Lepisosteus oculatus: one gene and its partner. The protein of the gene in region 1 purifies or fractionates together with the protein of each later gene. This does not show direct contact. Links are inferred from orthologs where the notes say so. Each region holds a gene or a part of one and is shown in the gene's direction. Other genes may lie near its edges. The genes, in order: rmdn3 and vapb.

The links.
Region 2: the proteins of rmdn3 (region 1) and vapb purify together in Homo sapiens (affinity purification with mass spectrometry; 4 studies listed by BioGRID and IntAct, counting the BioPlex papers as one, with this or other methods). This does not show direct contact. The link is inferred for Lepisosteus oculatus from reciprocal best matches to the Homo sapiens genes RMDN3 and VAPB.

Annotation. Positions count from the first base shown.
Region 1 is NC_090703.1:17,032,413-17,045,319, reverse strand, and holds the start of rmdn3 (regulator of microtubule dynamics protein 3), read left to right. Parts: upstream 1-6,785; 5' UTR 6,786-7,344; coding exon 7,345-7,549; intron 7,550-9,014; coding exon 9,015-9,192; intron 9,193-10,100; coding exon 10,101-10,247; intron 10,248-12,098; coding exon 12,099-12,360; intron 12,361-12,907. Other genes in the region: gchfr (GTP cyclohydrolase 1 feedback regulatory protein), read right to left, coding at 1,873-1,967, 3,200-3,235.
Region 2 is NC_090711.1:1,776,274-1,789,201, forward strand, and holds the start of vapb (vesicle-associated membrane protein-associated protein B/C), read left to right. Parts: upstream 1-7,061; 5' UTR 7,062-7,174; coding exon 7,175-7,232; intron 7,233-12,412; coding exon 12,413-12,565; intron 12,566-12,928. Other genes in the region: rab22a (ras-related protein Rab-22A), read left to right, coding at 1-67. UniProt on the Homo sapiens protein: Endoplasmic reticulum (ER)-anchored protein that mediates the formation of contact sites between the ER and endosomes via interaction with FFAT motif-containing proteins such as STARD3 or WDR44.

The DNA of each region.
Region 1 (12,907 bases):
TAAATACTACCTACTCACACAAAACTATGAAATGCAAACTAATGATTAGTTCTCAGAATTTTTTGACTTACTGTACATCTCATAATAAAAAAACAATTTTAGAATATAAGCTTAAAAAATGTCTCCCAATTATTTTCCTAGTACTTCAGTTAACAAGAATCATTTTATTATTCTGTCCAAATCTCCCATTGGCCCTTACCAATCATGGCCTCCTAATAATCCCCATCTATGAATTGGCTTCATTACTCTGCTCTCCTCCCCACTGATAGCTGATGTGTGGTGAGCGTTCTGGCGCACTATGGCTGCCGTCGCATCATCCAGGTGGATGCTGCACATTAGTGGTGGTGGAGGGGAGTCCCCATTACCTGTAAAGTGCTTTGAGTGGAGTGTCCAGAAAAGCGCTATATAAGTGTAAGCAATTATTATAATTATTATTATTATTATTATATATTTTTCTAATAAGAAAAAAACTTCACATCATGATAACAGGACTACCAATGCAAGGAATGCTAGATGCAGATGTTCCCACAAATCATTTTATTTACCAGCTCTGGCTGGCTGGTTACACTATTACATAATGCAATTAGGAGCTGATGTGTCTCTGGTTTTATTTCAAAGCTTCTTGTTTTTTTCATCTACAGTACTTACCAGATGTCAATATTTCCCCTTAATCTGGTGTTATAGAAGTCTTTGAAACAAACAAACAAACAAACAAACAAACAAACTGACTAAAATAATAATTACCTTCAAATGGTTAAAGCACTAAAATGATTTAATATTTTATATCACTGGCTGATGAGTGTAATTTTGTTATGCAACAAGACATAACAGAAAATGTTTACTGGCATTACACAATTTTATCATTAGATGTGCTCTCCCCACCACACCCCACTCATATTGATGGGTTAAGCAATCAGTTTATGTTTGAGTTTCAAAGTTTTTAATAATAACTGATCGCTGAGATATATAATTGGACAATGATGAAACATGGCGGTGAAAAAGGTTAACTAATTTTTAAAAAGGTAATATGCACACATACACCCATCATGAATGATATGTAAAAAAGTGTATTCACCTTTGAATTTAAGTGCACTAGTTAAAGTAAATACTAAGGTAGATTCAGAACATTTGTATTCACCACACTGCTAATAAAAACAATAGTTACTTTGAGCCAGAAATTACATTAAATGAATTAAACTAATAATCAGACTTCTCCTTTAATGTTCATTTAAATTAAAATGCATTATTTCTCAATCAGGGAATACATAATTATGTCCAGCCTGATGCCTCTCTCACACATAGGATAAGCTGCTTGAGAGGCCACTTCTTAACATTAAATTTTGCACTTATCAAGAGAATGTGGTCAGTATATTTCTCTGTTCATCTAGCTGAGTACGGACAATTAATCAGCTCTACCCTATGTAGGATTTCTATGAAAGGTGTGTTGATGTTTTACAGACATAACTGATTTTTAATACCAGAAGACACTCTCCCTCAGTTCACTTCAAAACATCTTCCAAAAAGAGGCCAAAATATAAATGTTTTTATTTCATACTATATAATGCTTTATGTTTTTACATAATCTACCCATAATCTAATATTCTTACTAATTTGTCAGTTTTGTCCTCTCATATAGTTATGTTCCTGAACTGACAGTCCAATTAAGCTGGCAATTTCTACCATACCTCTGGTCTTTAAAGCCCTGCAGTCAAATTGCTTGTACAAAATCCTTATAATGATTTAGACCTATGTCATAAGCATATGTCATAAGCATATTTCATTTGTATAAGCAGAGTTTTGATTAATGGACTGAGTATTTACCACTCCAATCATGTAATCTTAGCATTTTTAAAGCAAAATAATATCACTCACAAGTTGTTGCCCAACATTGTTGTTTTCCTGGCTCCTAAGTAATTCATAAGGGTTGGGTCTGAGTATTCATCCCCAACCATAGTAGGACCAGTTTCCTGAAACACAAGAGAAACAGTCAGGAAAGACACATATCATTTTAAAATCAATACTACATCTACTGCTTTGTTATGCAACTATTATACACCCATATGAGAGAGACAGCAGTTTTATTGCTGGCTAACAGAAAACAACAACAACAACAACATCAACAATATGAGATATATCATATGTTCTACACTTAACCTAAAACTTGAATAAGTTCTTAATTGAAGACGTATTTGTTCCCGTAACATCCCTCAGCTACTGTATATTTCACGCGATAAACAGATTCACGACCAAAGACGCTTTTCCTGGAGTTCTAGCTCGAGATAATTCATCTCCTTTGCAAAGTGTAAATCAATAGTAGAAGTAACAGCATCTGTTTTTGTACAGTATCTTACAAGATTCAAAATATTTTTTCAAGTTAGTTATTTTCGCACAACAATATAAATATATTTTGATGCATACAGCTCATTTTATACTGTAGTTTATACTATAGATACAGTATATTATATCTAATGCTAATAGTTTAAGAAGTCTAAACATAAATACGTTTGAAAACGGTTCTACAGTATATAACATTTAACGCTAATAAAACTAACTGCAACCATCAACATTTCACAAGATAATGTATCAACATTTACACACTTCGCCTATTTGTGAATTCCAGAGAATTCGCGGGCAAGAAGCGGAAGAATGAACTCAATGGTAAATTACAGTATTGGAATCGCAAACCAAACACGTCTGCTTCTAGTTTTTAGGATGGGCTTTTTTGTAAACCTTAAAATGTCTGTTTTACATTTACAAAACGGCCCCGCCCCCCCAACGAGATTTACAGACAACACATTCAATTTAGATCCAACACAGAATACACTGGATAAACCCTTTCTATTACAAAACGTCTAACAATTTGCAGTACAAACTATAACACTTTACGCAATATTTGCTCAGTGCATTCCGCTTTCCACACTATATTTTTTTTCATCCACACCGGAATATCACAAAGGTGAGTCTATAGGACACAGAATTCATTTTAAAGATTCTTTCGGTACCACTGGATTTTAAGGATTGTTGTATGTTTTGATAAAGTTACCAGCATTTCTTAGCACCTAACAAACATTGGGGGCGGGGAAGAAGACATTATCGTTTTTAAGTCTCGTTAGCAAAGGCTTATCCAGCCTGAAATGGTAATCACGGTGCGACGCTTAACTCAAGCTAGTTCTCAGAGCAACCGATGCATGTTACAAACCAGTCGAATCTGTGTGCTGATGAGCACGTAAGGCATCCTCGGACTTGGCGTTCTACCCCCTTTCGCAGTTGTCTCCAAATCGTCCCCTGAGGATTATTTGGCGAGTGCAGCTCTAACCGGTTAATGAAGCAAGCAGCTCTCTTCCACAACAGCTTTCCTACACTGACAGCTCAGAGCAGAATGCGGAAACACCCATCGCAACGGACCAATCATATGCCGACAAAAACACTTCTGTGCCAACGGCAATAAATTTGTATGAAGAAAGCAAAGCATTTTTTTCTTCCAAGCAGACTAAGTCCTTAGATGTGTAATAGAGAGTTGTACTCTCCATTAAGTCCAGCACACTGAAATTCCAATAAATACTTTTGCATGAATACATATTAATAATAAAACCACCATATATTATACTTTCTATTTATTATACGGCTAATATAGTGTTTTGCAAAAGTCTTCAGCCCCTGCATCGTCTTCACATTTTGTTGCCTTTGAGCTTGCAGTCGTGCCACTTAGAAGTAGAAATTAATGTCTGTTACGTACTGTACATAACCTGCTCCTCATATTGAGCAAAAGTCAAAATGAAAAAAAAAAATAACGTCCAAGATAAATTCTCAGATCCCACTGTAGTTTGCATCAGTAGGTACGTGATACTGCGAACAAAGGATTTGTGGTCAGACAAGACACAATTAGTACTTTTTGGTGTATTAAATCGTCAAAAGCCAGCAGAGCACATCATCACCACCATGCCTATGGGGAAGGTTAACCTCAGTAGTGACTTCAAAGCTTATTAGGATTGAAGGAAAAGTATGGATGGGCAAAGTACAGGTACAGTATATGTTAGAGGAAAAATCTGCTTCAGTCCTAAAACTAGGACAAAAATGGACCTTTCAGCAGAGTGATCCAAAGTACAAGCTCAAAGCTACTTTGCAGTGGCTTATGATTATGAAAGTGAATGTTCTCGAGTGACACAGTCAAAGTCCAGGTTCGAATTGTAGTGAGAATCTGTTAAGAGACTTGAAAAATACTGTCCATTAAGTGGTCCCCAAACAACTTGAGAACCCGAGCAAACCTGTCAAGACAAATGGACAAAAATTGTACTAAGCCGTTTTGAAAAGTTGATAGAGACTTACCCAAAAAGACTCAAGGATGTAAGACAGTATTATATTGAAAAGAACGTGTATGACTCATTTTGTAATTTCACCAAATGGGATACCATAGGAATGGTCTGAATAATTTTGCAGTGCTCTGTAATATATATATATATGCTGTACTGTATATACTGTAGATTGATCAAACACAAGCATTTATGTACCATTGGAACAGAGAAAAACAAGTGGCAATAAAATTCCACAGCACATATCTATATATCAATATAGCAGGGGGGTCCATCAGAAATTTAGCTACTCAGACAAGCTTGTTTATTTTTCAGACAGGAAAACAGATGAAAGAGTTATCTCAAGAATTTTCAGAAAATGTTGCAATCAGACCCGGTCTTCCCTGAGTGCACGGCAGTTGGATGATTTGCCACCTCTTATGGTTTTCCTGTGTTCGGCTCAGGTTTCCCTTTTAATCCTGTGGTTTGGAAAAGTCACATAATATCCACTGTGGTTTTATTCTCAAACACGGACATAGAACAATGGTGAATTTTCCTAAAGGGGCACATGTTGAGGATTTCTTACCGCGCTCTAATTTTGTCTTTCAACTGCGAAAACTTGAACTATCCTTCAAAAATGTAATTACTTAAGGCTGTCAATATGTATAACCTCAAATCCTGGTGTCCCATAATACTTTTCAGTTTAATTGAGAAACATGATTCTATGGTGTCCCTTTACTGAAATCCTCTGGTAATACTTCATTTTTGTCCAAAGGCAGACTTGTCTGTTTTAATTCCCAACAAAAATGGATGTTTTGAAAGACTAGAGTTCAGTTCCAAGAAGTGGTCTTAGTTTTTCTATAATCCCTCAGGTTTTGAGAGTGCTTTAAGGGTATTCCCCACATATAATCTATCTTTCTATGCCCTTTGTTGTGTACTTGTAATTATATTTCTTGATGTCTTCTTTTACATGAGTATGTTCCCATGATAAAAAAATTCAAACAAAAATACAGTAAAGCCTCAAAAGATGTCAAGAGATCTTATATGTATGAGTTCTGTCTTTACTTTTAATCATAGGAGAGCTGATTCTTCTCAATCAATCAGTCAGTCAATCAATCAATGTGTATTTGTTTTAAGTTGGAAGAAGTGCTTTGCTTTGCTGAGGTTGTTTCATTTGTAGGGCAAGAGAAAAATAACATGCTCTGATTTTAATCAAAATATATTACTCGCCATTTGGAGAACATTTGCTTTTATCTGTTAAAAATGTGCTGCACTATGAAAAGGGATGATGTTACAATAATTATGAATCACCAATACATAATCTAATAAATTTAATAAATGGTATGTAATAAATATTTCAGTTGGGTATCCATCCACATTTGTTTTACACAAGTTCTAATTTTGAAATACTTTAATTGAGTTAAAAATAGAATGGTTAAGTCAAAGAAGACTTATGTGGATTATGCACACAGTAAAATGAAAAGATCTGATCTGAAAAGGGAAACTCATAAAAATGCCAAGTGGAGTAGACAGGCATTGCGCAAGCTTTGACAATGAAAATATGAAGGTGAAAATAAAAGCCTTTCGATTAATATCACCTTCATGTCCTTTTCCCTGAAAACGGCAACACTGAGATACTGTCTTTAATATCCTCAGAGCTCTTTGTCATTTGAGGCTCATAAACAATAAAAAATCCTTCGATTTTGAAAATAACTGTCAATATACAACAGAAATATCTTCTCCATGTATCTTTCGAAGGCTCAGTGGAAAAAGAATAATGACTAGACTCAAGTGAGTAAGCAGTTTTCAATGTTTATACATTTAAAAAAACATATTTTGAGAAAATTAATAAAATTTCTGAAAAGGCTTGGGAGAGTAATTCTCAGCAGATATTGTATGTACTATTCCATTGTAACAGCATTGTGATTTTTTGTAAATTGCTTTGGGGTGATGCTCACCAGGAGAGAGCAGCTTACACAAAGGCTTCACAGCCAAAACGTTGTGTTTTCTCTCATCTCTTTTTAGCATGTAATAAACCTATTACTTGTTCCTTAAAAGAGTAAATTACAACAATTTGAATTATGTAATAAATTCGGAAATTAAAATGGTTTATAATGTTCCTCAGACGGGTCAAGTACATCAATTTAAGAAATTAAACACATAACGTGAAAAATGTACTGTATAACATACAGTATTAGCATTTTATTGTTTTTTTTTTACCTTTCAAACGTTCTATTTACTACTATAAATAATTCAGCTTTGCTATAATATGATTTGGATTATTAGTACATTTTAAATGATTTAATTTACTCTTGCAACCAAATGAGAGCTGCGGTCTGAATGGCAATCTCTCGTTTGCGACCTTTGTTGACCTGTATGTTCGTCACCCTGTGTCCGTAATGGTTACTGTCACTTTAACCTTACGGTGGGGGCGAGGTATAAAAATGTATAGCTTTTGGTTGCAAGACGGAAGAGTTTTGGTGTAACACTATAGTTTTTTCCCCCCGGCATGCTAAAAAACGAAACAGAAATAGTGAGCACATATACTAAATAGAAACTGATATTATCATATCAGCTAATAAAACGTTAAATAATAATCTTTACTTAGACAAAAACGAAGAAAAACGTGCGATTCTGGTCCTACGTTTTCAAGAGGCTTTCTAGTGTAAGTAAACGTGATGACAGCGGCTGTAGTGTAGTACAACGCAGACAACCGGCTTGAGTGGAGAAAGCGTGGTGTATTCGTGCAATTCAAGGAGAAACACTGAAACTGCCATATTTTAAAGCGCGTTTAGAAAATAAAAGCACGGACACTTTCTAAATAAATTACATGGGGCTTCATTCATATGTTTTTTTTTATTTTAAAACTTTTATTTTACAAAATAATATATTTCTAGTTATTCCTAAACGACACTCTTAACTTAATATTTTTGTTTTCCGATATATTTTAGTATTGCATCTAGTGGAGAGCAAACGTTAATTTGGGACCTCTCATGAATTAGAACCATTTGGTGTACTTTTCTATTATATACAGTATATAAGACTTCTTTCTGTAATGGGCAAACTAGGAACAAATACCTTGGTTGTACTGAGCTTGGGAGCTACCGCAGGAGCTGGATTGATTATTTATTTTATATGCAACGAGAGGAAAAAAAGGAAGGTACGAAAGCTAAGACTGGAAAACAACTCAACACACGCGTTGCACAGGACGGATGGGCCGACTGGAGTTCACAGCACTACACAAGCCCTGGATATCACAGGTAAATCGCACGCAGAATATATTTCAGTTAGCTGCAAACATAAAGGAAACGCTTGAGCAAATGAGTGTTCTGTATATTGAAAGCAGCTTTAGACAGGTATGGTTCCTGAGTTAATTAAGCAATTAACACCCTAACTTCGTGCTTAGGGTCAGTAGCTTTGAGAGAGGGGTGACTGTTGGGGAATGTTTGGCAGGAGCTTCAGTGATAAAGACTGTGAAACGTGCTGATGTTTCACGAGGAACAGTGGCTAAAGTGGTGTTGGCATGGCCGTCTAATGGAAAGACATCATCGCCTAGAGGCAACTGTGGACGAAAGCGCACACTCCCTGCCTGTGATATCCATGCATTGGTTCAGGATAGATGAGCAAAACAGACCAACAATTCTGAATCAGCTGCCTGCAAATGTCAATCTAAGGCTGTTTCATTAAGTACAGTCTGTCAACCTCAGAGAGAGGGATACCATGGTTGGGTTGCAGTGTTTAAATCTTGTATTATAGCTAGAAATGTACTTTTGCAAGTAAAGTGGTGTAAGAACACTAGTAGTGGTCTATTGAGCAGTGGAAAAAAGTCATATGGTCAAATGAGTCACCCTTTGCCCTGTTCTCAACAAGCGGATAAGTACCTGTGTGATGCTTGCCAAGTGAAGCCTATAGGCTCGAGTGCTTGTTTCTTATGGTGCATTGACTGCTTACATGGCAAAGCCATTCTGAGTGATCACGATTGTCATCCTGATGGGAGTGGAATCTTCCAGGATGACAGTGCCCCCCTGCACAGGGCACGAGTGGTGACTGAATGGTTTGATGAGCATGGAAACGATTTAAACCATATCTCATGGCCATCCCAGTCAGGAGGTCTCAACCCAATGGCACACTCATAGGAGATTCTGGAGTGGTGTCTGAGACAGCGTTTTCTACCACCATCAACAAAACCTCAGATGATGATGAAGTTTTTTAATGGAAGAATGTTGTCACATCCCTACAACAGAACGCTTGTAGAATCTATGCCAAGGCACATTGAAGCTGTTCTGGTGGCCTATGATAGCACACTATCCTAATAACACGTTGTAGTGGTGTTTCCTTTATTTTGGCAGGCTTTACAGTATTGTGAAATGTCATCCTTGACTCCCACAGATTCTTTCCCTCTTTCTCCACACTGGCCTTATACCTTTTGCTAAATTTCATGCTATTATGTTTTTGTAAACATAATATGTGTTTGCAGTCATTCTCTTGCTTTTTGCCTTCTCTGTTTTAAGTGGTGTATTGATGCTTCTGTGTTTTCGAAGGAACAAGTACATCAGTTTAAGAAATTAAACTATTAATTATTAATTAATTAAGCCATGAAACTGTCATAGGCTGATCATAGTTTTAGCAGTTATTGCCGTCAAGCCTACTTTGATTGAATAGTTGAATAGTGCTGTATCAGAAACTTGGATTGAACTCTATCTTAATCAATCTGCCCATGTACAGGGTCTTCACTTGGAACACTGTCTTTGGAGCCAGACCGGGGTGTGTTGCCTGAACAGCAGGGGGAGCTGTGGAGCCGGCTGGACGCAGTGCTCCACTGTGTGGCTGAGCTGCGGGCTGAAGTGGCTGACCTGAGGAACGGTCTGCAGGGGATCGCTGACCAGATTGTCCAGGATGTGAAGTGAGGAGAGAAATGCTTGTATGAATGGAATGGTAACTGGCATGAATGCCTTCTGAGGAAGCAGAAGCACAGAAATGAAGGAATGAGCAATGGGTCTTCTTTCCTGCACAATGTATTTTTTTTACTTAATCCTAGTGTTTAACCAGAAAGGTCAATTTAGACAATTTCTCCTTTTAAAATGATCAATTTTAGGCTTATACAGCATTAGTATAGAAAACATAGTAGTGAAAGAAAGAAGAGAGCAATCAGTAAAATGTAAAAGGCATAACATAACAGGATATGGATTTATTAGTCAGTATCAGGCAGAAATGATTAAACTAAAAGAACCCTAGAATACAAAGGCAGATGCCCTCAGCTTACTCTGTAAATTATTCCCTTCATTAGGAATGACATATGGCAAATTGAAATAAGTTTAAAAATTATATTGTTCTTCTTGGATAGTTAAATTTGTTGAATGTACTACATTTTAAATTGAAAGATGTAACTGAGAACTGCAATAAATTAGAGAGGTGTTTTCCCAATTTTGAGTCTGTAAATTTGCTTATGAGGTGTCTAAGTGTGCTTAAATGGCATAATCAGTTGAAAAGTAAAGATCGCCTATTGCCTGAACCATATTAATATAAATGGCGAAAGCAGTAGGGCTCAAAATAGAAACTTGCAGGACTCAGTTTGTAACTGGATGTGGTTGTGAATTATATCTGTCGGGTTTTACACATTGTTTATGGTTTTGGAAATAGTTGCGACACCATACAAGTGAGACTGTATCAAGACAGATATTACGCAACCTTTTTGAAATTATTGAGTGATCCACAGTATTGAGAGCAATAGATTAATGCATGAAGATCAATAACACAGTATGTGAAAGAATTTGAAGCCTCCTTATGTCTCTGTTTCACTTTGTTCTGCAGATTCAGTGTGGAGGAGAGTCAGAAGGCAGCACGCAAACGGAGAATCTTCCTGCCTAGGGAGCGCACCGACTCTATGAGCTCCAGCTCCATCTACTTTTCAGCTAGTGCAGGCCCAGCCAGTGCATACGATGGGGAAAGTGAGGGAGGGTAGGTTTCACAGGTCAAAAGTCTCTGAAATCGCCTGTATTGCATGCATCTCAGAGTTCTCGTGTGGTAACCCGTGTGGATCCCTGAACAGTCAAAACATCATTTTGGAAAGCATTTCGAACAGTAATTGAAACTGCGCCGAAAATGAGATTAAGATGTGTGCACACCTCAGGATTGAGAATGCTGTTTTCTAAAAGTTTAAGTTTGAGGAAAGATGATATCTTGCAGAAAACGGAGTTAAAGTGGTGGTAGCAAGTTATGGTGGAAGCAGCATATGGACAATCACAATTATTTATCGTTGGAGATATGAAGGATATGTCCATCTTTAAATGATCCTCCACATTCATGCAAACATAAATTGCAAGTACCATATTGCAAGTACTGTGAGTAGAAACGTCATGGATAAGTCACGTGACCTGCATTCCTTCTTGCACACTTGAAAAGGTTGTTGGCCTTGATAAAGTGGGGGGAAAAAAAAAACAGGCAAAGCGACAAGTCGCTGTTGATTGAAAGACGGGTTCCCATGGAGCTTCTTTTTCAAGAATTTGTCTCTGCAGATTTGAAGAGTACCGATCCAGGAAGGAAAACAGGAAACCGAAGGGGCACCGAGCTGAAAGCAGAAAACAAATTAAGAATCCCTCCTGCCAAAACACACTTTCAGAAGCTCTTTCTTGAGCCGCCCCCACCTTCCGGTAGCCCCTGTGTGAATTCCTGTTACAGCTCCAGCGCTCCATCTTATTAGCGTCCAAATGCACTTTCACTCTTACCTGGGCTCCCGCTGGGACTGACCTGGGTGCTTCCCTGCGGTGGTGGAGAGGAAGCACTGGGGTGGCAGGCAGGGAGGCTGTGCAGCTCTGCCCATCCTTGGCACAAGGACGCGCCCTGCCTGCGCAGGCCTTGTTGGCTTTCTTGTTTCGGCATCCGATGTTTTAGCCGTGCCCTCATCAGGGATGCTTCACGTTAGAAGTGTTAAAAACTTCCCTACTTCCTGACTTTGAGGAAAAGAAGCAGAACAATGATGGGAAAGTGGTTATTTTCCCTGGAACCTCTTGAGTGAGGCTTCAGGGTCACCCCCTTCCGAAACAGTGCAGAGGAGCTATTTTTGTGAAGTGCGCTGTTTAATAGAGTACATGTGAGCCAAAAAAAGCTTTGGGTGTTATATAACGCTTGTATTATGTTTTTTTTGTAACAAAGGTGGAAAAAAAACCTTAGAAAATTCAGGTCAGTTAGCTAAAGGTGGCACAGATCCAACCGCATCAGGAGATCTCTTCAGAAAATTGCAGGGCACTTAGGAGCCATTTAGCCTGTCATTGTTTTTATTCTTTTAACTACGCTTTTATCAGAAAGGGAAAACATGGGTGTCTTCTTCTTTTGAAGTATTTTTTTCCCATCACTCAACACATCAAAGACATGATGATTATAATTAGGAAATGTCAAAGAAGCACAACCACCCAAAGGTGTGCATGATAACCTTTACAATCCCAAACTTTCTTTTTTAATTTTTTTGCTTTCTGGCTCATGTCTTGTCAGGTCATTTATTTTTATACTTTAGACAAATGTTGATAAAGTTAGATACATTTGTCAATTTAATTGGTGCTTGGAAATATTTTGCTAAAATGATGACAACAAAAAAAAATATCTTTCTTGTGGTAATGTAATGTACTGTAATCTAAGTCCTGCATTCATGCCAAAATTAAGTAAGGAAATCTTATCCACCTTATCCAATTTGGGGTCGTGGAGGAGCTGGAGCCTATCCTGGCAAGCAGCAGTCCATCCCAGGGCTCTGTTATCATTCACATATTCAAAATGTTTTCATGAACAGTAAAGGTTTCTCTTTTCTTGACTTCTCAGGTACACGACTGCTAACGCCGAGTCCGATTACAATGGAGAAACGGACAAGGACACGGATGAGGAAGATGAGAGTTGCGCAACGGTGAGGACGCTTCGACGAGACTCGCTCTGCCTGGATGACGATGAGCCTTCCTCCCAGCTTGACTTCGAACTGCCCAGTGATGAGCTATCCCTCCTGCTGGCGCAGAGTGACAGGCTGCACTCTGGAGCCAAGGAGGAGAAGGCTGAAGGTTTTCACCTGCTGCTCACAAACAAGCCCCTGGTAGGTGCAAACTAGAGTGACAACAGGTATAACAGCAAGAAATGTACAGAAGTGAATTGAGTTTTGGCCATGAAGATAAACTGACTCCTGGCATATTTAAAACAACTGCTTTAAGTACTAGACATCAGTTCATACATCCATTTTCTATCCACTTTATCCAGTAGAGGCTCGCGGGGGAGCCAGAGCCTAAGATGGACACCAGTCAACCACAGGGCACACACAGATGCAAATACAGACATACTCACATGAAGTCCAGTTTTCCCAGAAGCCAAATAACCTACCAGCATGTCTTTGGACTGTGGGAGGAAACCGGAGTAACCAGAGGAAACCCACATGAACACGGGGAGAACATACAAACTCCATGCAGAAAGGACCTCAGGTCCTGAATTGATCGCAGAGCTCCCTGTGCTGGGCAGCAGCAATGCTGGGACTAGAAATAAAATGCACAATTCCAAAAACAAAGCACACAATACATTTGAAAAGGTGCCATATGTACCTTTGTGGAAATGATACAGGCTGTAAGTCATGATACATACTAGCTTCAAAT
Region 2 (12,928 bases), on another chromosome or scaffold:
GGGGGCAGCCGGGAAAGGCTTTAAACTTCGGAGGCAGGCGTCGGAGTCTCGCCGCAGTTGCTGCTGATACAGTGAGGGGCCCTGGGATTCGCCCCCCTGGGGGGAGGGGAGGGGCGGGGAGAGTGTGTCCGCAGGGCGTGTCCATTGAGAGGTTCCACACTACGCACAGACGAGCCGAGCCTCAGCCAAGCGAGCCCAGGAGGTGAAGAGCACAGAGGGACACAGGAACTCCTGTGCGTTTCTGTTTCACTGTAGTCCTGCAGCAGGGAGCCCTTACCTGTTGCTGTCCCACCTACCACTTCACATCTGGAGCCACGAGCAGGATATGACAAACAGCAGCCTTCACCCCTGTCTGCCCCCGAGATCTGTCCAGAGTGCTCGCGTGTTCCTGCCCGCACTGGGCCTTCCAGAGACCGAGGAAGCAATGAGGCCTTCCTGGCCCGTAAAACCGCAAATCTCGTTTTATTGTGCTTATAGAGTTTAAAAAATGGAACTCTAATGTGGACTTTTTTTTCTTCTGCTGTTACCATTCAGCTCAGAGAAACTGAAGTCTTGGCAGCAGGAGATGGTCTGGTTTTCGAAGCACTTTTCCTCCATGAGCTGTGCTGCTTTCTTCTGCTGGCTTAATTTGAAGAACGCAAGATGACTGTGGATTATTGAACTGTGCCAAAACTCCCTTCCCCTTTTAATTTTCCACCTGTAAATCTTCTGGGTTTCTTTTCCACAAGAAGCTGTAATTAGGCCTGCATGAATTGCTCCTGCATGCAAGTGTCACGGTATGGCAAAGTACTTTTGGGGAAAAGAGACTAATTTAATGGCTAATTAAAAAAATCCTCTGACTGACCCGCCCACCTCCCGCCCTCAGAAGCGTGCCGTGCTCTGCAAGGGTGCAGGCAGGAAGCTGGGAGTGGGGGCGTGGCAGTGTAGCAGCTGAGTGCCCTCATGGTGTAGCAGGCGGCTGACGTGATGTCACTGGGGGCGTGGCTTGCATCACCCGTGGTTACAGCAGAAGAACTTCCCTGGAAATACTGGTTGAGCCATGAGGCAGGGGGTGGACTTCAGCACTGAATTGTGAAGGACTGGAAGATGGAATTCCCACTGAGAAGGGAATTAGTTTATAATTGTGTACTGTCAAGGGGAGCCGGGGTGGGGCGGGGAAAAGTTCAAACATGGAAAGGCCGGGGTGTGACCGGATCGTCTGTTTCTTTTGTGTTTTGGTGTGGCCGTCCAATATTCCCTCTTGTTGTCAGCTTGGTGGCCCGATGGCTCGTGGGCAGGCCGGGTCTCTCCATGTGTTCGGGACAAGAGAGATTTTTTTTAAAAATGGGAACGGCTAATAAGACTTAACCTCTGTATTTACAACTCCTGTCTGCTGGTCTCCCTGCCCCCAGGACCCGCCTCTTCATGAGGCTCTGCTGGATTAAGTGACCGGATTGGGAACAGGCCAATAGGAAGGGCTCACTGCTCCCACCAGTCGGCCTGTCTCTCTCACGCTGTTCCCTGCTCACAATCATGCTCACTCGTGCTCACTGGGCCACTGGCCTGCCAGGCATGGCGTGTCTCACTGGACTCGATTGCTTTCGCCACAGAGTTTATCTCTGAACCTTCACTGAACCAATTTCAACATAATTAGCTAGAAGTACCCAAACGAGCTGGGTGTAGACGAGCTGAATGGCCTGCTCTCACTTGCGACCTTTCTGAGCTCCAATGAGAACTGATCATGAGAGGAGCACACCCGCGTCAAGGAGGAACCAGGATTTCAAGCTGACACATGGCTGTTTTAGGTCAGTAGGCACATTTATTCTGCTGTCGCAACAACTGAAAAGGTTTCCGTACAGTTGGCTGGTGTTTTTGTGTGATGTACTTACAAGGACACTTTGGAAACATCTTGAGTTTGTCTTCTTTTAAGGGAAACCAGAACTGGAACTGATGACCGTGGAGCAGCGGTCTGGCTGCCAGAGCCGAGCTCGTAAGGCGGCAGAGGAGACTGGTGGCGGCCATGTGTGCGACACAGGTTCTGTTCCAGCGGTTGGAATGTTTTCCTCATTTCGGTTTTACTAGTTGGCAAACGAGCCAGGCTTTGGAATTCTGCGAACGGATTACCCGGCTGCGGTCCAGCCAGTCAGCAGCCAACCCGTTTTACGTTGTGTCAGTCATGCTAATGTTTTTAAAAAGCCTGTTTCAGCTGCGCGGCGTTCGCTGGCAGAGGTCCTCTCTGGCCCCTTGCGGGGTTTTTTGTTCACCTCAAACAGGAGAAATGCGTTTAGAGGGCTTCTGCTGGTCCCTTAATTGTCCTATAAACCTCTTTCTTATTCTTTTACAGAATAAGTCAGTTCCCCTCCAGCTCCAAACTGATTTTACGAGCTGGACGGGGATGAAAAGCAAAGTACGGTATCTGGAAAGTAGAAAAGTTTCGGGAAGAATCCAGCCAGTTTTTCAAATCACCTGCTGCACCCACGCTTTCTCCTGCTGTTAGGAGGTTTCAGAGGCTCCTGCAATATGAATTCCGCCCTTTTTTCTGGTACACCTGTGGTTACAAATGACCTGTCCATCCGTCCGTTTTCTAACCTTTTCGTCCAAGTGAGGGCTGCAGGGGAGCCGGAGTCTATCCCAGCAAGCAGCGGCTACAAGGCAGGGGACAGCCTGAATGGGACGCCAGTCCTTCGCAGGCTAAAACATTGATGAAAAAATAGTTTTAATACCATACCTTAATTTGTTTTACAGTCATACCTATACCTTAACATGCAGCACACTGTTCATATCACTTGAAAGCCTTTTTAAGCAAGTTTCTGAGCCCGCAGGGACGCCTGCCTGTTGCCCCCTCCAGTTCTGCGTGAATAAATGGAAAGGTGGCTGGATAACAAAAGTTGAAGTTACGCCTGTGAGCTGGTTACTTTTTTTAAACCAGTGGCGTGTCTATCCCAGCTCTTCCTACAGCTCTTCCTGTAGTGTTCCCTGTATCCAAGTGCCGGAGCTCTTATCCCTAAGGAGATGCCTTTCGCTTTGTTGTTGTTGAGGTGGTTTTCATACCTAGGCCAATGGCTGTTTGATGAAGTTTAGCACTGAGCTATTGCACTGTTTTCTTGTGAAACAAGCTTTTGATTATTACAGATTAGGACATGCTAGAGAATATTAACGGAAAAAGCCCTGCATTTATAACCCTCCATATCTGTGAGAAGCTCTGCAGCAAAACTGGATTTTCATCTTTTCAGCAAAAAAAAAAACCCATTCAAAATAAGAAAATACAAGCGCAAGAGCCCTGTAACACAATGATCTTGTTTATGATGCTGTGTGGTGCTTCTTAATTGGTTTTGTAATCACTTAAATAGGATAAAAGAAATGTCTTCTGGGCATTTCTCAAGCAAGGTTAGTTTTAAGAGATGTTATTGTTGCTCTGCAGCAAGTGGGGACAGAGGACAGCTTTTACTTGGAAAGTGGAAATTAAAGAATTGATCCACAAAAACGCTCACATGTTTTTCAGTGGTGGAGTCATTCTTGCCTTAAATCATGCATCTTTGGTCAACAATGCAGTCTGGGAAAGTATGACCTCCATCTGACCTCCACCTTTCAGCTGAGCTGTTTGATCTTTTCTTCTGGCCTACTTTTGCTGAATGGCTTTTATTGTTGTTGTTGCTCTGTTAATGAGAGCAAAGGGAGAGTAATTGAATATCTATCGATTTTCAATATAATGCGTTTCCTTAGATGCCGAATGCTGTTTGAACGGGAAATGTTATCAATTGGATCTGACATAGTAATCAGGTTATTAATTTTAACACTAAAGCAACCCAAACCACCACTGTTTCCACCTGTATACATTTCTCACAGAAACTGAAACTGCATTGAAGCGCAGTAGCCATACCTCGTGTGGAGCTGATGTTAGACACTGCTTCAACTTCTTCTTTTTTGTCAATGCAATTTTATTTTATTTACAGGCAGAAACCAGAAAGGAGCTCATGTTTTGGCTCAGTGGTTCAGACAAGCATGTGTAGGCAGTATGACAGGCCCTTGTGCTCCTGAAGAGAAGTGTGTGCCTCCAGCCTCTACTGTCTTTTCAGGAAAGAAAACTACCCAGTAGAGTTTCAGATTGTTTAAATGTGTTTTTTATGTGACTTTTTTATTTGCATGTTGCACACAGATGGACCAACCCATTTTTTAAAGGGACTCTTTAGTGAAGCTGTAAGTCATTTTTAATGTCTGGACATAAGCCACCTATGCTTTTTGAGCGGCAGTCTGTGGCTTTTGGTTTCGCACTTTGTGATTTTGTGTAAAGCTTTATTTTAAAGTCGTGAGTGTGCAGTGATATCTTGCATTCATGCTTTGCCACCCTGTAGACCTTTGAGCGCCTCAGCAGTGCAGATTGTTCCTGATGAGGCAGTGTAGAGATGTGTTTTAATGAGCCATGGTGAAGATGAGAGGTCTCCAAAGGTAATGCAGTTGACTCCAAGCAGGATTCCAAGGAGTGCTGCTTTTTTTTATCAGCAGCACATTAGAGCCACATCTTTAAGACACTGGCTCAACAGCAGGACTTTGATCCAAACCCAGAGCAAGGTCTGATTTAAGTACAAACTAGTCCAGTGAGAGTCAGTCTTCCCTGTACGGTACATCAGCTTTCAGTCAAAAATGCTTCTCTGCTTAAATTATTTGTGGATTTCAGACTGGTTATTTATTCAGTCACACCAGGGCACGCACACTGAGGAGCGAAATATTATAATGATTTTAATTGCTCCATGAACAGTTATCTTCTTTCGGCTGAGCTTTCTGAAGTGCTACATTTTAAAAATTTAAAGGTGCAAGCAAGAGATTTAATATAGGTGTGGAAAAGAGACATTTTTTTTCAGCGGAATACAAATTTGGTGTTATAAATAGGCTTCATTTGTAGTGAAAATGTTACCACTTTAGTTAAAAGGTTTGTTAGTGATTCTGCCTGACTGCAGAAAGATGTCCCTTGATATTGCTGTGTTGGAAAGTGCTTTAAAGTCAAAGCCTTCTGTTTTTTAGATACTCGGTTCCTTATTTTTTGGTCCAGTTGTCTGTGAATCATCGCTTACTTTGTTGGTAAGGTGTAGCAAGTTTGCAGTAAAGCACTGCTGTCTAGTGTGTTCTGCTGGGGCTGTATGGGAATCGTTAAGCGTTGGGAAGGAGTGGAGAGCTCCTGCCTCAGTGATCACCAGCTTTTAGCCATCGGAACCAACCTGCTTTCAAAAGGCTTCCTTCCGCTACGGATCAAACCTTTCATCAGCGTGTTAAAACAGTGCAGTGTGTTGAGGAATGATAAAAGATGCACATCCGAGTCTTCATTCTTTTGGAATTTGAGCCTGGATGTGCCGTTTTCCGTGTTGCCTTTGGGAAGGGCAAGGCGGCTCTGCATCGGTGAACTGTTGTTCGAGCACTGTGGTACGACAGCGTGTGTGCTTCGCTCATGTTTGCAGTAGTGATGCTAACAGGTCTGGTGCCTTCATATCGTAGCTGCTGTAGAATATTTAACCGCTTGTATCAGGCGCAGTAACGCATTGGCTTAGCTTCTGTGCATGAAATGTGATGCTTTTGCTTTGCAATATGTAGTGTTTTTTGTGTGAAGGAGATTGTCAGTCATAAACATAAACAATGTTGAAGAAATCTCTTGAAGTTCCTTATCTCGGGCTGGTCCTGAGACAGTGTAGCAATTCCCTTATAATTATATAATGTTTTAATGTAGATACCATGCAAACGTATATATAAATACGTGAATACCCTAATACAGTTTTGGAAGGTGAGCTAAGTCATATCATTATTTACCATGAGTTGTTTGCAAAGGCACCACCCAAAAAATACTCCATCTATAATTTGTCATATTGAGCTTTAATATTTTCATATCGATTGTACAAATAAAAATGCTTGAAATCACTTTACTATGTATTTCTGAATGTGCAAAAGGGAAATGTCAAGCTGTTTACTAATAAAAACATTTATTAAAGAACACAACGTCTGGTCAGTGGCATCTGTTCCAATGCAAAAAAGTTTCAGATTGGATTTTTTTTCTTTTAGTACCCTCTGACCAGATGTCCATGCTTCCCACAAAGTCATCAGATCAAGTTTTTGTTGAAGCCTGTGAAAAGATTAAAATCCGGATTTGGTACAGATGTACAAAGAGATCTTTACCCAGCAAAACAATGACTGTCAATTACAAACCAGTGCGAACAATCAGTATACCCCACCCCTAATCAACCCACACATACACAGTTTTGATTTATACCTGTACAAAAACTTGATAAAATCACCATATGAGTCCAAATCCATCGTCGCATTAAAGTTTTTAAATCCCAATCCCAAGAGGTTAGAAGGTATGCAAGTAATTGATCTGAAAATGTCGATGTTTTATCCTAACTCTTCCACATGACGGCCAGGGGATCTTTCTGCGGAATGTTCCCCCGCTGGGGGAGCTGCGATTACTCGCTGGCAGCAGGAGGATAAAGTTACGGTGACATCAGTGAGATTGAGAGCCAGCAGCTTCCATCTCTATATATGTCGTACTGGAGGTATGTGCCTCCCCGCTCAACGCTGCCCTTTGAATTGTGCTGAGCAGGCCAGAGTCCTGCCGCCCTGACCTTCCACCCCTTCAGACTGGCACCACGCCCACCGGCGGAGCGACGCGGACCCTGCGCTACAGCACAGCTGAAACTGACCCCCGTACTTTTCTTTTGCATCGGTAAAACGTGTGCAACGGGAGCTCGTGGGGGAAAAACAAAACAAAAACAAAGGAACCCGAAACGGATCGAACCATCTCTGTACTCCCTCAAGATGGGTAAAACACTCCTGAAGCTCATGCAACTTAACACAGGAGCGGCTCAGGTGCGCTGTTAACACTGTTCTTAACCCTGAAGCTGTACAATGGGCCCCCGATGCAAAATATATATATTTTTTGGTCATTATTTTTTGAATCGGTTATTCAGTGCTGTAGCCTAGGTGGGGGAAGAGAGAGAGAGAGACACACCTTGCACCCGGGGCCAGTTGGAGCCCCCCCGCCGACTGGGTAATGCAGGGGCCGTGACGTCACCGGCAGCCTCTCTCTCACCTCCTTCCTGCTGCATCATCACTGCCGCTAGCAGCTCGAGCCGCGCTCCCCGCAACCGAGCGACCGTTCACCCCCCTCGCTCCCGGACCGACAGCCCGCCGAACCGCTCCGAACCGCCGGGACATGGCCAGGCAAGAGCAGGTCCTCCTTCTAGAGCCGCAGCACGAACTGAAATTCCGAGGTAAGGAGGAGGAGAGGCGGGCCCGAGCAGAGCCGCCCGCCCGCCCGTCTCCAGCCGACGGTGTGTGCGGTGGGCTCCTCTGAAGGCGGCGGCCATGTTGAGGAGATAAGGGGGGTGGGCGGCGCGCATAGCGGGCTGGTGTGGGCCCTTCGGTCGCCGGGGAAGACGCAGATGGAGCCGTGCCGCCGGGCAGCCTTTCGCCGGCGCGGAAGGCAGGGCTGTGCAGAGGCCCCCCGCGTTTCCTTCCCCGTCTCCCCTTCGGCGTACCCTGTTTGGTCCCGCGGCCTAGGCGTTAGGACACGGCAGGGAAGTCGTATCTGGCGCTGTGTGTGTATGTGTCCCCCCCCCCCTTTCGGAGAGGTTGACTAGGGTCATGACTCTGCCCTGAACCCCCCCAGCCCCCCACCGTCTTGCAGCGGGATCACAAGCGCCTCTGCTTCCTTGTCGCCCGGCGGCCCGTCTCCGGGGAAGCGGCCGTCTGTGCTGCAGCGCCGCCGGCTCGGCTCGGCTCTTGCACACGGTGTACAGGCCGCCTCACTCCAGCGCTTGATCTCGTTTGTGGGTTTGATTTCTTTCTTTTTGGGGGGGGGCGTTTGCGTTTTCTTGTTTTGCGACGGGCGGCCGGCCGGCCGGCCGGCTTGTGCGAAAAGGAGCGGTCATCTGTAGAGGCTAGGCCACAACAACCAGCCTTCTGAGCCTTACGTTATGAGGGATCAGCATGTCAGTCCAGCTCTGTGTGCATTTAGATGGGTGTTTAGCACGTACAACAGTCAAGCGTACTTGCAGAGATGCAGTCGTGCAGATGCTCCTGTGCAGAGATTGAAATGGTGACTGTCATATGTAAATAAACTTCTTCTTGGTGTAAGTTTCTCCCTCTTTTTAAAGCCAGCAATGTGCTGGTACAGCTTGTGGATCAGATCCTCACTCCTGGCTGGTGGGATTACAACCCACTCTGGACACTGGAGAGGAATTAGCGGTGTGGTTTTGCCCAGGGCAGTGAATAGGATGTCCCACACGTGCTCGGTGGTGACCAGCCCATACAGTGGCAGAGGCCAGGATGTCTTGGCGTGAGCTGGGTCAACAGCCCTGTCAGAACGCAAAGGGAGGTGGCTCGTGGACAGGCTGTGTCATCCCGGGGAGTCCTGAGTGACCGGGCCCATGTCGCAGCCTCTGGACAGTCCACTAGCTGGGAATGTCTGGTGGCCTCACTTGCACCCTGCACCCGCTGCGGATGTGATGGTATATAATTCCTTGAAGGTAAAAATGTGTTGCTGTACAGGTGTGCTCTTCCATATACAGACACACACCGTGTAAAAACCTGGATCTTCCCGGGGAAAAATAAAAACTTGGACCTCTAAATTCCATGGTAACATGCCGTCTTGCTGACCTCCCTTCTGCTCCTTCGGGCCATCCGATCATCGTGTGACATGAAAATAACAGCGCTTCCAAATGAGACCAGAACCAGTCGGGTCACCCAGCCATTTCTTGGAAGAGCCCGGGGTGTCATCTTTAATGGCACGCTTGGGTGGGTGGGCAGCTTGTTCTGCTCTCCCATCAGCCTCTGGGTCAAGAAGTGCCCCCTCAGTCGCTGCCTGCTTGCGTGTGTCAGACCGTGGGTATTTTATTTTGTCTGCGTGGCTTTGTAAGACTGTGTTTTAGAGTGTAGGCCTGCAGCATTTTATATGTGCATTAAGCTTCAGCCTCCAAAGCAAATAAACCTTTATCTTAATCCATTCAGATCTGCATTTATTTTTCTCACACCTGTGTGGCTCGGTGACGGTGAACATTTTTTTTTAGACGATTGAGTCCCTCTGGGACTCATCACAATTAATTGTAACACAACTGTAAAAAAATAAAATCAATTTTTTGTCCGACCTTCCTAGGTTTTTGGCAGAAGTTAGCGTTCGTGTCTGAATAAAGGAGGAATGCCGAATGTTGGTGTTGAAACCCGTTTATACTGCTCTGTTGCACTGCGCCCACTTTCTGATCTTGCCAGCACGGCTCTCTCTGCTCCCTGTTTTTAGTGCCCTTTGCCCTGTGGGGTGGCTACTGCTCTCACCCTTCGGCAGAGAATACTTTCAGGCCCTTCTGATCTGAAAATGGAAAGATAGTTTACCATCCAGCTCCTAAATCTTTTTTTTTCCCTCCATTCTGAGTCATTGATTTATCATCTGTGTCCTTCAGACAGGCTTCTTTTTGTGGTTTTCTTTTGTGCGACTGAAAACTTTTGGGGGGCTATTTTTCAAGGCTGTTGCCAAGCAGTTTCTTGTGGTTTTCTTCTTCTGTTGACATAGTGGAGATGAGAGCTCCTCCAGCGATTAGCCAGTCCAGGTCAGAGCATTTTTTCCTGAATGGAACTGCGCTGCTAATATTTGGCACAGGCCCTGCATTGGTGAACTCTCTCCCGAGAGAGCTCCATAGAATTTCCTCCAGAGAGCCACTTGAAAGATCTGCCTTGTTTTCAAGGACAGCTTTTATCGGAAATATTTTGCAGACAATTAAATGTAATTAGGTGGGAATCTAGAAAAATGTCTTTGGTGCTTCCAGTGGTTCAGGGTGTTCCAAGGAGTTTTTAAGTAATAAAGTTAAGCTGTGCAAATACAAGAAAAGCCCTTTGATGCTAGTGTGGCATTTCGGGGTACGCAGTCTCACTCACACTTCTTAACACCACTCACTGCCATCCAGGTGAGTTCCTGCCTTTGGCCCTGTCCATCATTTCACTAATTCAGGTGCACAAGAGCCAAAGAAACAGTCAGAAGCTTTCCTGTTTCTTTTCCTTTCTTGTAAATGTGTGGTTCTTGGTATGAATCTTGCAGTACTGCTTTTAACTACAGCAACAGGATCTTTCTGGTCCTTGTGAACTCGCTTATCTTTACGAACAGACTCTAAGGGATACCCCAAGGAATTCTTACTGTGATCAGCTGAATGATTCCTGGGCACCACTCTGAACCTTTCAGATGAAGAACCCGCTTCCGGAAGTCCCTTAAAGCTAAAATATGTCTGTTCACCAAACGACTGATGCCCAGGGATGTCTTCCAGCTATTTATTCAATCCAGTTAATAATCTCGATTGAAGCTGTCAACGATAACAAGGTGAAAAAAGAAGCCAGAGTTATTGCAAGAGCAGTAAATAAAATAGGCGTGGTGTCTTTGAGAGGTTAACGTGGGGCAGGTGGCCCCACGTTATGGATATCCAGGGAGAGCATTCCCCGAGCCCTGCTGCGGCTGTCCAGCATCTCATCAGCCCTCATGCGGTCTTTGTTTTCCGTCCCTTCCTGCTCGCTTCTCCTCTTCGCCCGGCGGTGCTATTGATTAATGCATTGCTCGTGGTATTGATTGGATAGAGGTGTCTGAATTGCCGACAGCAGGGAGCATGCTTTCTAACGAGCTGTACCCTAATTAGCTCCACCGGCCTGTTTTATTCAAACGGGCGGATGTGCCCGACTGGAATGTTTTCAGATCTGGACTGGTGGCTGCCACAACAGTCCGGAACAGTCTTACAGGCTGTGAAATCAATGGGTAGTCGGGTTCCCATTTCATGTGTAATAAAATATAAAAATAAGAAATCGTGAGCCTTTTTTCCCTTCTAGTCTGTACGTTAGTTGTGAGAAGTGTCTGAATTCAAGGTATGTACACAGTTATTGCTGTCGTTCTGAACATGGCAGTTGTGTTCTATTTGTGTGTTGCATTTCCTTCTGCGTTGTTTGATGCAACGGTTTTCCTTGGAAGCTTTGGTCTCTATGGCTCCCGTGAGCACAGCTGTTTGCACATGGGGCACCTGAAGCCTCGTCAGGTGGTTGACTTCATCCTGCCTGAAGGTTTTGTGTAACTGAGTTCTTCAATAATTTAACTGAGCTTGCAGGGCCTCTGTGGGAGAGCTCTGGGGAGTCTATGCGAGTATCACCAGCTGTGTGAGCTTAGGATGTGTCACTACCTACAAAAGCTTACAAACCACGAGACCTGTCCTTCATTGTGTTTAATAAACACCATGCCTAGACATCTGAAACAAAATCCTTCTTTTGTTTTCTTTGGGACCTTGCTTTTTAGTTTTTTTTTAACCTGCCTATATTTTCCTCTTTTGTGCAAAGCAAATCAGAAACAAAGCTTTCAGGCTGGTTATCTGGGGTGTAGCGGATTCAGATCCACATATTTCATGCTTGAATCCCAGTTGCTGCATCTTCTATGTTCAAGCTGTGGTGTTTTGGGTTGTCAGGTTCAGACGGCAGGGGCTGTGATGTGTGAACGCAGTGCCATGTTTCTTCATGTGTTAGATTTACAAGAAGGCTGACATGGGCATGTAGCTCTGGAACAACACAAAATGCAACATCTAGATTTCAGTGAACTCTGCACGGACGATATCAGGTCTTCCTGCTGCAGCCGGTGTGAGGATGTTGGAAACCTGCAGGCAGAGAATGGTGCTTATGCACTCCTTTGTCTTTTTGTGGGTTCGTTAGACCCCACCTCCCCTCCTCACATTAATTGAAAGGTAATATTTAATGAGCGGGATGTGGAAGAAGTGGCAGGTGGGCGTGTATGCGGCGCGGGCGCCCGGAGCACGTCCGTGCCTCTGCGCGAAGGGTCAGGGGCGCCATTTTCTCAGAGCCTGTTAACTCGTGTGTCAGGCTGTGCAGCTGGGGCTCACAGCACAGCTGCCCACCCCTGTAAGCCTCGCTGGAACTGTGAGCTTTCCGAGCGACTCAAGCAAGGGTGATGGGGGAGGAAAGGGTTAATTGCTGCTCTTTCAGCACTTTTTTTTTTTACTCCGCTGGGACCTAGTGTCTTGGCTTTCTAGTTTTTCTTCCTGCCATGGATTTTCAGTAAAGCACAGTCATTACACAGCAGTGGGTATTGAACTGAACCCTCCTTTCATGTCACATTATATGACTAAAGATAGATCTTTATTCTTTATTGCTTTTGATGTGTTAATCCAAAAACATCCAATTAATTACTTAATCCTTCACAGTAGTTTACATTAGTTTCATGCTCATTCTGGTTCTTGATGTCATGGGCAGTTTCATAAACCTTTTGGTTTTCTTTGTTCTTTTTTTGTCAAACGTGGCTATAAATGTTATTTTTTTTTACCGTGAATTTGCTTTGACTTTTTACGTGTTTACTGACTTGAGAGAAGGCAAGGGCCAGGAGTCGCCCATGCTAAATTTCCTCTGCCGTCACCACCCTCAGGTCCCTTCACAGATGTCGTCACGACCACCCTGAAGCTCTCCAACCCTACAGACAGGAATGTGTGCTTCAAAGTGAAGACGACCGCGCCGCGCCGGTACTGCGTCCGGCCGAACAGTGGCGTGATTGACGCGGGGACATCGATCAACGTGTCCGGTGAGTCCCAGTGGGGGAGGGGGGGGGGTTCTCGTCTGCGAACCCCTTTCTTCTTCTCCACTCTTCGTCTAGGGGGTCGGGAGAGAAGAGGGTTGGGGGGGGCACTTTGTTTCTTCGATTCCAGGTCGTCCGGGCACATCACCACAAAACGTCAGGAAAAATTCAGCATTTAAATAAAAGGGAGTCAGGTGGTGGTATCGTTTTGACTCCGGTTTCTGTCAGGGAGCTGTTGGTTGTGTGCGCTAGGCTCACATCCTGCTCTGCTCTGGGGCTGTCTGACCTGCTGTCAGGGTACATGTTGGCAAGCTTGACCCTGCGATGGGGCAGCAGCAGCATGGCAGCCCGGCCTGCAGCTGCCTCCCT